Stegostoma tigrinum: one gene and its partner. The protein of the gene in region 1 interacts with the protein of each later gene in a biochemical or structural test. Links are inferred from orthologs where the notes say so. Each region holds a gene or a part of one and is shown in the gene's direction. Other genes may lie near its edges.

Region 1 (7,911 bases):
ATACAGTGATACAGACCACATGCAGGCAGATGGGATTAGTTTAAAATAGCATCACAGTCAGCATAGTCATGATGGGCTGAAGGGCCTGTTCCTGTGCTATACTGTTCTACATTCTGAAGACCAACTGCTTGGAGGCATGTAGAATCCTATGACATGGGAACTTTGCTATTTGTAGATCACTGTCTATTGGGCAGTACCTCTGACACAGTGGTGTGGTGACTCTGTGGTAGCACTGTTGCCTCACAGTGCCAGGAATCCAGGTTCAAACCCAGCCGTAGGTGATTGTGTGGAGTTTGTACATTTGCCTTGTGTCTGTGAGGGATTTTTCTGAGTACTCCAGTTTCCTCCCACAGCCAATAATTTGTGGATTGGTTATGCTAAATTATCTGCAGTGTCCAGGATTTATAGGCTAGGTGGATCAGCCAAGGTAAATGTGGAGTTATTAGACTAGTGGGCTGGCTCTGGTTTTGAAGTGATGCTATTTAGACGGGTGGTGCAGACTTGATGGGCCACATGGTTTCTTTCTGCACTGTAAGGATTGTGTGTCTTGGTTGCATCTTCTTCTCTTTGCACTTCAATTATGTGCTCCTTTAGCTTCCTCCTGACCACGATGATTTTGAGCATATGTTTCTCCCTGCTACTCTATCCAGTATCAAAATAGTATGCCTGAGAAGTATCAATTCCCCTCCCTGCCACTTGTTCCTTTCAGAAGTTCAACTACTCACATTCACAAATGTAAACCCATGGTGATAATTCTATGGCACTGGCTGAGCAGCTAGGTTTAAGGTCTGAATTTTATGGTGTGTGGTGTGGTTAGAGAGCATATTGCTTGGCTATTCCCATCTCTTGTTCAATTTGAAACTAGGTAATGTGAGACTTCTGCTCTTTCAGAAAGATGTCCTGCCCTTGTAAAAGGGAGAGGTAACAGTGTAGGAGAGGTGAGTCCCCTATGGTCACAGAGCACAATGCCAAAAGGAGCTACCACTACCTTATATTAAGTAGCATGCTGGCCTCCTTTAGTCTGCCTTCTCCAGCCTCATATTATTGCAGCAAAGGTAGAAACAGGTTCTTAATTAGTCATTAAATGGGCCAGTTAACAGCTTCATTGGTCTAAGGTCATGTGATTCCAATCTGACATCTTGGGTTTGGGTGGGAAAGCACACCAATTTTAGTTTATGCACCATATAGTCCACCACATATTCCAGCAAAGTTTCCTCCAAATCTCCATTTCTTACAAGTTGACTACGTAAGGCAATGTGGCTCAATGGTTACCACAGCTGCCTCACAGCACCAGGGATTTAAGTTTGTTTCTAGCCTTGGGTAACAGTGTGGAGTTTGCATGTTCTCCCCATGTCTGAGCGGGTTTCCACCCAGTCCAAAAATGTGTGGATTAAGTGGATTGGCCATGGGAAATGAAGGGTTATGGGAATATGGTGTGGGATGCTCTTCAGAGGGTTGGTGCGGACTCAATAGGCTAAAAAACATCTTTTTGAACTGTGGGGATTCTATGATTCAACATACCTATTGACATTTATAACTGCCACTGCGTTCACGGCAGCTGCACACTTTCTTTTAACAGTGGCCCTAAGTGAAAACAGTAAAGTGAGAAGACAGTTGAGCTCATGGTGAAATTTGTTGACAGATTGTTAATTCATTGCTGCTCCCAGGCCCTTTGAAAAATCACAACAAAGTCTGAGGTATGAGAACCACTAACAACATCTAAAATAATGATTTCCAATCTGAACCCACACCTAATCTTGCTTTCACAGGTTTTGGAGTGTGACTGACAATTTGAAGAAAAACACAAGTGAACATATTTATGTGAACGGTAAGACATGGCCCCAGGTAATACCTAATTAAAATGTTGATTCACAAAAGAAAAATGTGACATAGAAGAAAAACAACTTTTGAAGGTTTTAGCCTGACTAATTAATAACAAATTATGTTTTTTAATGACATATCACATTTTGGTATATATTATCAATATGTGAAAGGTAAAGTTGCCATAATCCCAGAGGACTAATAGGTATGCTCTCTCATTAGACAGAGATAACAGGTGGTGGTTTAACCTGAGTGTCACTGTGCCTCAGGCAAGGAGAGAAGTTGAGAGGCTGAGAACTTGATGATAACCTCAGCCAGTGCACAAATTAAATTCATGCTGTTTGACATAGAAACACGGACAATGGCTCAGAAACATGAAAAAAGTAAACATATTTTTGCTTCAGAGTTCTTTCAGGATGTCTCATACAAAATGTACATTGGCCAATCCTCATTGGTTAAGGTAATAGAACGGAGAACTGCAGTTGCCAAAAATCTGAAACAAAAACAAAAAATTGCTGGAGAAATTCAGAAGATCTGGTAGCATCTGTGGACAGAGAAACAGATTTATGGGAATACAGGAGCAGGAGTAGGCCATTCAGCTCTGAGTCTGTTCCACCATTTGATAAAGACCTCTACTAATCTGTGGCCTTGACCTCTATCCCTTAATACTTTTGTTTAGCAAAAAAAATCTCAGATTTAATAACTAATCGAGCATCCACCCATGTTTGTGGAAGACAGTTTCAAACATCTCCTACATTTTGTGCATTGAAGTGTTTCCCAAAAGCTCTCCTGAATGGTCTGGCCCTATTTTTTGACTTTGCTTCCTAGCTCTGGAATCCCCAACTAGTGTAAATAGTTTATCCACCTTGCCTTTTACTGTTAATATCTTGAAGACATTGATCAGACCAACCGTTGATCTTTAAATTCTAGAGAAAACAGGAGTCAACATTGAGTCCAGTGACCCTTCTTCAGATGCAAAATCAGAGATTGCTGCAGCAGGTGCTGGCAGCATTAGTGAAGATAAAGCAGAGTTAACTTCTAGGGACCAATGAGCCTTCCGAAGAGGCTGCCAGACCTGCGCAGTCTTTTCAGCAATTTCTTGTTTTGATTCTGATTTCCACCATCCGCAGTTAATTGGTTTGTTTTTTTTTTGAGTAAACCCTTCTTCAGATTCACGTTCCGCTCCCCACAGTTGCTGCCTGACCCGCTCAGTTTCTCCAGTAATCATCCTCCGACACTTCCGCCATCTATAATCCGACCCCACCACCCAAGACATTTTTCCACCCCCACCCTTGTCTGCTTTCCGGAGAGACCACTCTCTCCGTGACTCCCTTGTTCACTCCACACTACCCTCCAACCCCACCACACCCGGCACCTTCCCCTGCAACCGCAAGAAATGCTACACTTGCCCCCACATCTCCTCCCTCACCCCTATCCCAGGCCACAAGGTGACTTTCCACATTAAGCAGAGGTTCACCTGCACATCTGCCAATGTGGTATACTGCATCCACTGTACCCGGTGTGGCTTCCTCTACATTGGGGAAACCAAGCAGAGGCTTGGGGACCGTTTTGTAGAACACCTCCGCTCGGTTCGCAATAAACAACTGCACCTCCCATTCGCAAACCATTTCCACTCCCCCTCCCATTCTTTAGATGACATGTCCATCATGGGCCTCCTGCAGTGCCACAATGATGCCACCCGAAGGTTGCAGGAACAGCAACTCATATTCCGCCTGGGAACCCTGCAGCCCAATGGCATCAATGTGGACTTCACCAGCTTCAAAATCTCCCCTTCCCCCACCGCATCCCAAAACCAGCCCAGTTCGTCCCCTCCCCCCACTGCACCACACAACCAGCCCAGCTCTTCCCCTCCACCCACTGCATCCCAAAACCAGTCCAACCTGTCTCTGCCTCCCTAACCTATTCTTCCTCTCATCCATCCCTTCCTCCCACTCCAAGCCGCACCTCCATCTCCTACCGACTAACCTCATCCCACCTCCTTGACCTGTCCGTCTTCCCTGGACTGACCTATCCCCTCCCTACCTCCCCACCTATACTCTCTCCACCTATCTTCTTTTCTCTCCATCTTCGGTCCGCCTCCCCCTCTCTCCCTATTTATTCCAGAACCCTCACCCCATCCCCCTCTCTGATGAAGGGTCTAGGCCCGAAACGTCAGCTTTTGTGCTCCTAAGGTGCTGCTGGGCCTGCTGTGTTCATCCAGCCTCACATTTCATTATCTTGGATTCTCCAGCATCTGCAGTTCCCATTATCACTTCTCCAGTAATTTCTGTTTTTGTTTCGGACCCTTCTTCGGATCATGTTCGTCCAGCTTCTCACGTTAACTGATTTAAGATGATGTGATGGACTAACGCCCACTGCCAGCCGGCGGGCATTACACTGACGTCAACCAACAATTGTTGCGCATGCGCAGCAGGGTATAAAACGTCATCAAAGGCAGACAATGACGGGTAACTATGACACCGACTTCTCCTTGGTAACCGCGCAGCAGGCCTGGCAACTCTTAATCTGAAGTGACAATCTTGCTAACTCAAATTTAGACCGAGTTCGACAGGTCTGCTCCTCCCTGTACAAGGCGGAGCTTGGAAATCAAACAACACACATTTGAAAGCCCAATAATACGAGTGCCCTTAGTTCAGAGCATCAACTCGTGAGGCGGTGCGATAGCTTGTCAAATATTTTTTAATTGGGTGATAAGGTCACGGGAACACACTATTACAGAAATTATGACATCAAAGAACTAGAAAAAGCACACCACACAAACACGATATAACCATCATCCTAAACTCCCAGCACGCCTTTCGCTAGTCCGGCAATTCGAGTCCCCCTCTGAAAATGACCGCAAGTCACTTCAATGCACTCTGGGATATGTAGTTCCAACGCTGCACAGTTCAACCGCAAAGCCGACGGCCATGCGCTCAGCAGAAAACTACAATTTCCAAGAAGCAGCGCGGCCAAGGCGCATGCGTATCTGCCTCACAGTCAGCCTTTCCTCCCTCCCCACCCATCTATCTTCACCGCTGTCTCCTGCCTCCTCTAGAAGGGATTTGTTTCGTTTTATAACGGAAACTGAGACTGGAAGGAGAAAGACAAGGAAACTGAGTACTTCCGTGTTTCATCTTCCACTCAAGAATATTCGTGATAGGAGCAGTCTTTCCCATTATCAACTGACCATGACACTGTGAGCATTAACGACTAAATATTATATAAACTGATTTTACAGTAATCAGAAATAATCAATGAAACAATGTTGCAAGGATCTAAGAAAAAAGACAAACGCATTCTGTCAGGTACGTGTCCGGATCCCAAGTGCCAGGCTCGACTGTTTTTCCCAGCCTACGGAGTCAGCATAGAATGCACTGAATGCGGCCAGCGGCATGAACAAAGAAATCTAGTCAATATTGAGGAAGTCACCGACCCAGACGTGGTACTGCACAACCTACTGAGGAATGCTTTGCTGGGAGTCACTGCCCCCAAAAAGGGCACGGAAATGGTGAAAGTGATGGGGCTGTCCAATTATCACTGTAAACTACTGTCTCCCATTCTGACCCGGTATGGCATGGATAAGCAAACTGGGAAGGCCAAGCTCTTGAAGGCGATGAACCAAGGGGAAATGTTTGATTGTGCCCTGTTGGGTGACAGAGCTTTCCTTATTGATCCAGAGCACATTGCGACTATGGGCTATGGAAAAGACCGTTCAGGGAGTCTCTTATACCTCCATGATACCCTTGAGGAAATCAAGAAGGCAAATAGTAATCAAGAACGTTTAATCCCTGTACACGTTGATGGTGATGGCCATTGTTTAGTGCATGCTGTGTCCAGGGCTTTAGTAGGCAGAGAGCTTTTTTGGCATGCTTTGCGTGAAAATCTCAAACAGCATTTTAAGGGCAACCTGGATCGTTACAAAGCACTATTTCATGACTTCATTGATGCAGCAGAATGGGAAGATATCATTAACGAGTGTGATCCTTTGTTTGTTCCTCCTGAAGGAGTACCTTTAGGTCTACGTAATATTCACATATTTGGTTTGGCCAATGTGTTACATCGCCCAATCATTTTGCTGGATTCCCTGAGTGGAATGAGAAGTTGTGGTGATTATTCAGCTACTTTTCTTCCAGGATTAGTTCCTGAAGAAAAATGTTGGGGTAAGGATGGACAGCTGAATAAACCTATTTGTATTGCATGGAGCAGTTCAGGACGTAACCATTATATACCTTTGGTTGGAATAAAAAAAGGTCCTTTACCAAGGCTTCCTTTGAAACTGTTGCCCAAAGCTTGGGGTGTACCACAGGAGCTTATTAGAAAGTATATAACATTTGAAGATGACAAATGTATTTTAGGAGGTGATCGAAGTTTGCAGGACAAGTACTTGCAGAGATTAGTTGCTGCAATGGAAGAAATTTTCTTGAAGACACATGATATTCACCCTTCTCTGGTAGCAGATGTTCATCAGTATATATACAGAAGGACAGGGGTGATTGGAATACAGCCTGAAGATGTTACTGAAGCTGCAAAGAAGGCTGTAATTGAAAATCGTTTGCAGAAATGTTTGATTTGTGGTGCTCTGTCTGAACTTCATGTGCCCACTGAGTGGCTAGCTCCAGGAGGAAAGCTGTACAATTTAGCCACAAGCACCTATGGCCAACTAAAGCCAGACAAAAATTACAGCTTTCCTGTCAACCATCTGGTCTGCTCATATGACCCTAAAGAAGATGTACTGGTGCCAGATTACAATTTGAGTCACTTAACATCTTGCAACTGGTGTCACGGTACTTCCATGCGCCATGTCAGAGGGGATGGTTCTGTTGTGTACTTAGACGGAGATCGAACTAATACCAGATCTGCTGGAGGTAAATGTGGCTGCGGCTACAAGCATTTCTGGGAAGGAAAGGAATATGATAACCTGCCTGAGGCATTCCCAATAACTTTGGAATGGAATGGGAGGATAGTTCGAGAAACTGTTTATTGGTTTCAGTATGAAAGTGACATGGCTCTGAATAGCAATGTTTATGATGTTGCTATGAAGCTTGTTACTAAGCATTTTCCTGGTGAATTTGGGAGTGAAATCTTGATTCAGAAGGTTGTTAACACCATATTACATCATACAGCTAAAAAAAATCCTGATGAATATACTCCAGTCACTGTCGAAGGGGCACATAGTCGTAGAGTTGGTGACTTGCAAGATGAGCCAGCATCAGAACCACATTTACCAACCAAAATAATTTTAATGGGTCAGAAATCGAAGACTCTGCATAAAGAAGAACTGAACATGAGCAAAATTGAACGCGGTATTCAGCAGAACATTACTGACCATGCAGCTACTGTGCAAAAGAGGAAAACTGACAAATTACGCCAAGATCCGAAGGTACCAGGCCAACCACCTTCTCCTGGAATTGTTAAAGATGGGTCATCATCTGCCCCAGCCACTCCCATCAAATCCCCTTATTCCACATCACCTTCCAAGGTGAAAAAGATTAGAGTAACCACTAGTGATGGACGACAGGCGACACTGACCCTTCAAGCTTCTGTAACATTTTCTGAGTTTCAAGAAAGCATCGCCAAAGAATTTAGCCTTCCCCCACGTTTGCAATGTATACGGCATGGCTTTCCTCTGAAGGAACTGCACCCCCCTAAAGTGGGATGGGAGAATGAGGTATTGCCTCTGCAACACGGTGATTGTGTTTCTGTGGAGATTCTGAAGGACAGCAAGGAATCTGTTCCTGCTGCTTCAACATCTGCAACTCATTCCTGGAAAACTGAAGAACCTGAAGCATCTGGTAGAGCTTCTGTTAAAGAGATGCAAGACCATATTGATCTTGAAATGTCTTCCCTCTGCCTTCTAGCAACCTTAATGGGTGAGAAGTTATATTATCTTATTTTTATGAATTTTGGGTAACTTATGTAGGAATATTGTTGTGATAGGATTCTCCAACTGGGAACTATTAAAAGGAAGAGAAAACTTAAAAGTGGAAAGCTGACATAAATGCTAAATATATATTAGATCAATCAACACCTGAGAGTGAAAGATAATAGGAAAGTTAACATTTTGTGTTTGAATTGTTATTGATTATT
Region 2 (7,649 bases), on another chromosome or scaffold:
CTGTCCAAAGATGTGCAGACTAGGTGGATTGGCCATGCTAAATTGCCCATAGTGTTCAGGGGTATGTGGGTTATAGGGGGGATGGGTCTGGGTGGGATGCTTCAAGGGGCTGTTTCCACACTGTAGGGAATCTAATCAATCTACAAGATCATGCTTGAAGCTGTGCTTCTAGATTCCTCCCCAAAAAAAAAGGGAAATATCACTTCCGCACATGAAATCCTAGTTCTGTCAAGCCCACTTAGAACGGTGTATGTTTCACTAAGATCACCCCTCATTGAGCTTTCAGCCCAACCATCCCTCATTAAAAGAGCTGAGGCTGGCAAAGATAGCAGTGCATTACGAAGTGCAATTTAGGACAGAAGGTGGGCTTGGGACTTTGGTGGAGGAAGCCATTTTAAAAAGGTTACTCTTTCCCAAAATCAAAATGTAGTTTTCAATTAGCATTCTCTGTTTGCAACTACATTTATCATTAGTGTTTGCAGGAGCTGGAAACTGAAATTTAAAAAAAGGGCTGGAGATTCAGCAAGTTTGACAACACTGAAGAAAAACAAGAGTTCTTCCTCAGCGCCTGAAGTTTTAGCATTTTTGAGTCCACTATGACAACTGTTTCTCTCTCCAAAAGACCTATGTTTCACCAGCACTGTTTTTACTATTGTAATAGATAAGTTCCCGATGCAGCAGCAGCAACAGTGAATGAGGAGGCTGGTTAGAACTAATTTCTTGAGCAGGAATGCTGACTCATCTCTACACTCACTGAAATCCTACAAACATTAGGTGGTTTTGCTAAGTGCAAAAAGTAAGCAAACACTAAGGTTATGACAAGGTGTGCCATTTTCTCCCCAGTTTTCTTCAATCTCTTTCAAATTTAAGCAAATGCTCAGTTCTCCTCTATAATAGACAAATTCAGCATAAAACTTGATCCTCTCAGCCTAATTTATTTCTATCTGTATTTATATACCCAGTACATCTCATTCAACAACCTGACCTCCTGCCCCTATACAACAAACCAAGGTGTGCCTCAAATGCATCTTGTTCACCATCACACTGCTTCCCTAAACTATCAGGGTCATAACCAAATTCACAACTGTGCAAAATGAAGTTCGATTTCATGACAACTTCCATGCTGCCTTGATAGCACATGGAACAAAGCCCTCAAAACTGGAATTGCTTTCCAATCAAACTTAAAAGACCTCAAACAAAATTGCTTGAGAAACTCAGCAGGTCTGACAGTATCTGTGGAGAGAATGAGTGTTAAATGCTTCAAGTCCAGGAAAATCTGTTTTTAGGCTCTTACTAAAACTTGCCTCTTTCATATTCTGAGGAAACCAAATAGCAGACTACAGACTTACATGTGCAGTGATCAAAACTACTTTGTTACATCTTCATGGCAATATTTGTTTTACCTACACTACCATTCATAGCTTCATAGTTTGATTTCTCCAATAGTCTCACTACTTGAGTGAAAAATGCTTTATTAATACCTAACTCAGACTTCCTACATCAAGTCAAACGATATCATTCATTAACTTTTCTCAGCAGACCAATTTTGAAACACTATTTTCAAGTACCTCCACAACCTTGTCCTATTCTTCTGCAATCATCTCTCACCCTTTAAGACCACAATATATAGAATTAGGCAATTTGGTCGATGAAGTATATGCTACCATTTAATCATGTTGCTTCTCTGCACCGTTCTCTTGCCTTTTCCCAATCACACTCGATCCCCTTGTTAATCAAGAGCCTCTGTCTCTTTAAATATACCCAATAGCTTCCACTGATTCACCATCCACTGACGTAAGAAGTTCCTCATCAGAGTTCTAAAAAGGTTTCTCCTTCATTATGAGGCTGTGCCCTCAGGTCCAAATCTCTCCTACTTCTGGAAACATCATCTTCACAGGGATAACAAGCTGGATGAACACAGCAGGCCAAGCAGCATCATAGGAACAGGAAGGCCTAGACCCTTCATCTTCATGTCCATTTTGGTGTTGAATCATTTATTGTCATGTATTCAATACAAAATACAGTAAAACGCAGTGTACTGTCACCATATATAGACACCAAGCACATTAATTTAGAATAAAGTTAAAATATATAAACTCAGGGGAGTCCAACTTTTCTTTCTCTGCTGATACTGTCCCCGACACCATCTCGCACCATGCCACCTCCAGGCTTTTCAGTATTTTGTCAGTCTCAATGAGATGTCCCTTTTTCACTGAAACTCTACTGCGTTCAGACCCAGGGTCCTCAACCATTTCTTAGATAACAATTGTTGTAAACCACCTCTGGACCCCTCCAAGATCAGCATACTCGTTCTAAATATGAGGCCCAAAATTTCTCTCAACTTTCTGAAATGCAGCCTCATTAGTACATCTCTGCTCTTGTATTCTAGCTCTTACTAAGTCAAATGCATTCCAAACTGCCAACTGAACCTGCCATGTTAAACTTAACAGAATCCTGAAGTAGGACAAAGTCCCTTTGTATATAAGATTTCTGAAGTCTTTCCTCATTTAGAAAATAGTCTATGTTTTTATTCTTCCTATTCCACTTTGGTGCTGGGTTGCTGAATTCCTCCCTCAATCTGCAGCATAATAACTGAAGCAGCTCTCCTAACTCCATTAACTTAACTACAGCACTGTTATTTTTAAATGCTTTCTCAGTAATGAACACCTCATATTTGTTTAACTATTGGATAAGTTAACTAGAAAACACACATATGAATCTCAATAGTTTGGAAACTTGAAATTTAGTTGGGAAAAAAATACACATCCACTGGTAGCAGTAAAAGTGATAATGAAACCATCACTTGGCACAAAAAAAAAATCAAACAGATACACCAAATTTTGTTTAAGGACAAACATAGGTGCTCAGCTGAGCAATGTATTCAGTTGAATCAACAAATGCCAGCTATATGCAAATCTCAAGGACAAATGCATTTTAAAACCCTGCTTCCAATCATCTCCTTCACCACCCACTGCCAGCTTCAGACTCTGATTCCATAGAAAATGCCTTAGGACTTCCAGTGATAGGAAAGATGTAAATGTAAATTTGGTTTTACATCTAATACATTAGATGTACATGGTTAAACATGTAATACATTCAGAGTTAAGACAACAATAGCATATACCTGGAAGACATCAATATTGAAGGGTGTCAGTGAAAAGGCCAGGGATTTCAAACAAAGGCACAAAAGTAACTAGGTAACAACTGTTAGCACCAATTTAGATTTAAAGATGAAAAACAGTACAGAAAATTTTGCCAGAATGTTATCCCAAGGTACACATCTAAACAAGGTTTATGAAAGACTCTTCTCTCCATTGTTTCCTTAACATCTTAGTTTTTTGCTGATTACATGAAGCAGATAATCCTTTCCAAAATATTCTCCTCACCTCAAAAGTGAAGGATGAGCTGCTGTAAGGTTTTTTTGATAAGACAAGTTTGAAAACACATTATTTACTTTACCAATTAGTTACTGCACTGTGTACATCTCACACTATATTGCTTTGGCTTTTGTTAAAGTTTTTAAACTTTGTAATTGTGTAGTTTGAAATAATTCAGGGGCAATAGAAGGTGAACAGCAAATGTTGGGTTTGTGCGTTAGTCACACCGTAGAAAACAAAGTGTTAAAACAATGGGTACAGCAAGTGTACAGTTTGCATATTTGTGAAGATTTTCAGCTAAATATTTCTGCGCTCCAAATAACCGATCGAAGAAAGAGGTTCAATGAGTAGAATATTTCTTAACTCTAATTTTGCTTGTTAGTTTATTTTGAATGGCAAAACTATCAAATCGGACACAAAAAAACACCCAACTATGTGCATCCAAGACTGATTTTCCGCAATACCGAAACAGTGTTGGAACAATAAGATAACGACGTCGCAAAGTTTATTAAGTGTCAGCAAATCAAGAATTTACATTACTTTTCTTCAATACAACATTACCGAGCCATACGGTCTTCACGTTTTATTTACTCTCATAACACCTCGAAAGAAAATGGAAACAGACGGCAAATAACATATTTTGAATCATCGCGCAACGGTTAGTGGCTAGAAAGTAGACAAACAAGCGATGCACATGCACATGTAAAGCCCCAACGTAAGTCAGTGACTGGCTGCCATTTACTATACACGATCACTCCGCAGGCCCGCGCAGCCATGACTTGCCCTGGCGCAGTCCATCCATCAGTGTCTTACTGAGTCTCTGTATTTACCCTTTCATTTGCGTGTGAGGTTTGTTTTTCTTTTTGGCACCGAAGAACTCAACTCAGCGAATATTGTGTTTTGTTTTTGCGGGAAGAAAAAACACAACCGTTCTACATCCCACCGTTCACCTCAATCTCTCTTTAAAATAAGTAGACGTCAAGCCACGATCCGGTCACGTGACCCATCTCCCAGCATGCCGTTTAGAAAATTAGGAAGCCAGAAATCAGCCGCTTAGCAAATTAGGAGGCGACCTTTGCAATATGTATGAAATGGTGTGTTGTTTTATGTAGCCGCCTCTGTTCATTATTTATTTGCCTCTTCGTTTTGCTCGCGTGCTGGCTTCAGTTGAACGGAAAGAGCCGAAGGGTTTCCGGAAAAAAACGATCGTTGGCGGGAGGGTCGGCTGTTCCCGATCGCTGACGCGTTACCCGTATGTAGTATGGGCCTCGTCCTCTTCAGTGTTGGTTTGTGTGTGTGAGATGGATCCCGAGAGTTGGTAGTGTCCTTACCTGTTTTTTTAAAAAAAGAGAAGGGCCGGTTTTTCTGAATATTTTGCCCTTCCCTTTAGAAAAAAAATATAATTTACCTTTTGATCCACTCCACATACAACAGCATTGATGGTAATGTATGCAAGGAAACAACCGAGACTCAATGATGGGTAAAATGTTCAGGTTTTCTTCTTGTTATTCTTTAAATCTCCTTTTACCCTTTTTCGAATTCTCCTTATCTTTTGACAATCCGCCATTTTTGCTGTAAACCGAAATAAGTAAAAACTTAATGAAACGAATTCCCCACCTTTGTGATCATTTTACTGTGAAAGATCTTGTTTAAAAATATGTACATTTTCTGCCGAGTTTTTGTTTCAAAGTTTTAAGAAAAATACGTTTTAGACCACCGCTGGCACATTCATTTTCTGGTTTTTATTTCTTTGCAGGTGTCACGACAGGAGGGAATCCCAGCCCTATCAGGTATATTTCTCAGAGTGAATCGAATGCCATTTACTTTAATGAAGGCTTGTGCGTCTGTAACAGGCCTCACGACTTTACAGCTGGATTTTAAGGAGACGGTGCATAAGATAAAAGTTCATTTTAAAATCTTGTGCGAAAATACCATTTAATGACATCGGACGTATTTTCATGACTGTGTTTTAGATTCAATTGGCTCTGATAGCTTTTTTTTTTACTTTTGAATATGAACACATAAAAATACATGTAAATAAATTGTGAACTGTAGGAGGGCCTAGGTTTCCGTGTCCCTGCTTTTTTGTTCCTACGTTTTTGAACACCTTTTTAAGAGACATATTTCTGCTCTAACGATGAGCTGACACACAGATTTCTGTTTAAACCCAGTTGTTTTTGCAATTAATTTATTAAAGTTAGTAGGATAGGGTAGTATGTATCATTTCTGTTTGTGTTTTTAAGCCTAGTTTTAAATTCTTTCAAGGGTGAAGGCCAACATCACTTTTTAAAAGTAGGCTGCTGGAAATTTGCAATTACTTACTCTAACCAATGTTAAATTTGACACGTTAGTGAAAAGTAATACTTGTATGGAAATCTAGTCAGAACTGAAATTAAGTTATACTTAGATGGAGTTCACTTTACATGAAGAATTGAACTAGGAAGGCAATGAAATCCCTGAAAGCTGCACGTGTGCCTACAGTTGCATGTCATTTTGCTTCTAGGTCACAATTCTTCTAATTAACTGTTTTATGATGATTCTATTTCAGACTCTTAAATACCCATCCAAGAGTCACACGAGCAGCAGTGATCATCGCCATGACAAAACCAGAGAATCGGGAGATCCATCACCACCCTGCAAAATGCTGCGACGTTCTAACAGCCCTGAAAATAAACATAGTGATAGTACAGGACATAAGAGTAAAACTGTGCACTCACATCGAGCCAGGGAGCGAGACGGTACGTTACTGTGCAGTTAACATGCAGAAAGTCTTAGTTTTGCGTAAGCCATTACATTTTGGCCATCTTTTGGAAAATACAGCCTTGCTGTCAAAAAGCATTGACGAACAAACGAGTAAAATTACAAATAACATTTTTGATTAAATGCTAAACTTGCCGTTTTAAGCACTTAATTCAAATTAGGAATTCCAGATTAGTAGCTGCTTTAGGTTTGTGCACAGAAACAATACCATTTTTGTTTGAATGTAACCAATAATTGAACGTTAAGATGTGGGCCCATAGGACTGTAACTGCAAATGAAAACCTGGATGATTTTTAGTGAGACAAAAATGAAACATTGAGAAGCCTTGCTAAACTTGTGTTGAGTCTTGATTGGGGCAAACCTGTGGTACTGTGTTGCCATTTTTATTTTAAGAAGGAAAGGGTTACATAGACAATGGCAATAATGCAAAAACAAATTTGCAAGGTTGATATCAGAAATTTAATGTGTGATAACTTTGTGAAAATCATGAACAGGCTACATCCCATTTCTTTTGATGCGACCAAACTCGGGGATGAAAGAACAGAGTTTAAAGATTATTGAAATGTTTGGTGCAGACATGGAGGGAGTGTTTCTGTTGGTGACAGGATTGAAACCAGAGACTGATCATATGCGTTGGTTACAAATGAACAAGCAAAGGTGAACAATTTCTTCACCTGTAGAGTGGTAAGAATGAAGAACTTGAAATTAACGTGGGTTGGGGCAAATATAAATGCTTGTAGAATGGAGATGTGATAAGCATCTAAGTGATTAAGGGATACAAGGTTATGACACAGTTTTGGAAAAAAATGGAGAAGACTTGAGTGGAGCATGACCCTGTTTCTGTACTGTAGATGCTACATCACATGATTTTATATGGTTTTAAAATGATTCAAATTAGTGGTGTCATATTGCACCGAAAATATGGAATAAATCTCAACAGAATGCCCTTAAGGCTCGCATAAGTGCACCTTTACCAAAGGTAAATCTTTATCCAGTGTTTTAGAACTAAAACAGTATTAACATTTTATTAATACAACAGTATTAACAAATCCAAATGCAGAGATTTGGACATTATACAAAGTCATTGAATGGAATGTTTTGATTGAACAGTTACTGGTGGTCCAAAATTTTATGGCCTTTTTGAACTCAAAAATTGTATTTATTGAGCTTTTAATTCTGCAATACAGTGTTTATTGTGCATTTAATCAATGGATCAGATTTCTAACTATTCATGTTTGTGCGCACCTAATAAAATCAAATACTTACCTTGACTTAACTAAATTAGCAATTATTCTGTTTCTTTAGTGGTCACAGCTTGAATTTTCCACCAGTCTGAAATGTATAGTGAAAGGTGTTGGACTTAGTTCTCATCTATTTCACTCATGAAAAAAGCGGAGTTTGACAGATGTTGGAGCACATTTGGTGCAGGATTTGACTCAAACCCCCTTTGGACCATCAAGTCTGCACCAATCCTCTGAAAAGCATCCCACCCTATCCCCATAACTCGACATT

What was found. The genes of interacting proteins can lie anywhere in the genome.
Region 2: the proteins of vcpip1 (region 1) and waca form a complex in vitro, tested with the Homo sapiens proteins (2 studies listed by BioGRID). The link is inferred for Stegostoma tigrinum from reciprocal best matches to the Homo sapiens genes VCPIP1 and WAC.

What each region holds. Positions count from the first base shown.
Region 1 is NC_081358.1:31,502,070-31,509,980, forward strand, and holds the start of vcpip1 (deubiquitinating protein VCPIP1), read left to right. Parts: upstream 1-4,804; 5' UTR 4,805-5,086; coding exon 5,087-7,694; intron 7,695-7,911. UniProt on the Homo sapiens protein: Deubiquitinating enzyme involved in DNA repair and reassembly of the Golgi apparatus and the endoplasmic reticulum following mitosis. Necessary for VCP-mediated reassembly of Golgi stacks after mitosis.
Region 2 is NC_081355.1:124,993,548-125,001,196, forward strand, and holds the start of waca (WW domain-containing adapter protein with coiled-coil), read left to right. Parts: upstream 1-4,617; 5' UTR 4,618-4,816; coding exon 4,817-4,857; intron 4,858-5,133; coding exon 5,134-5,167; intron 5,168-5,925; coding exon 5,926-6,115; intron 6,116-7,649.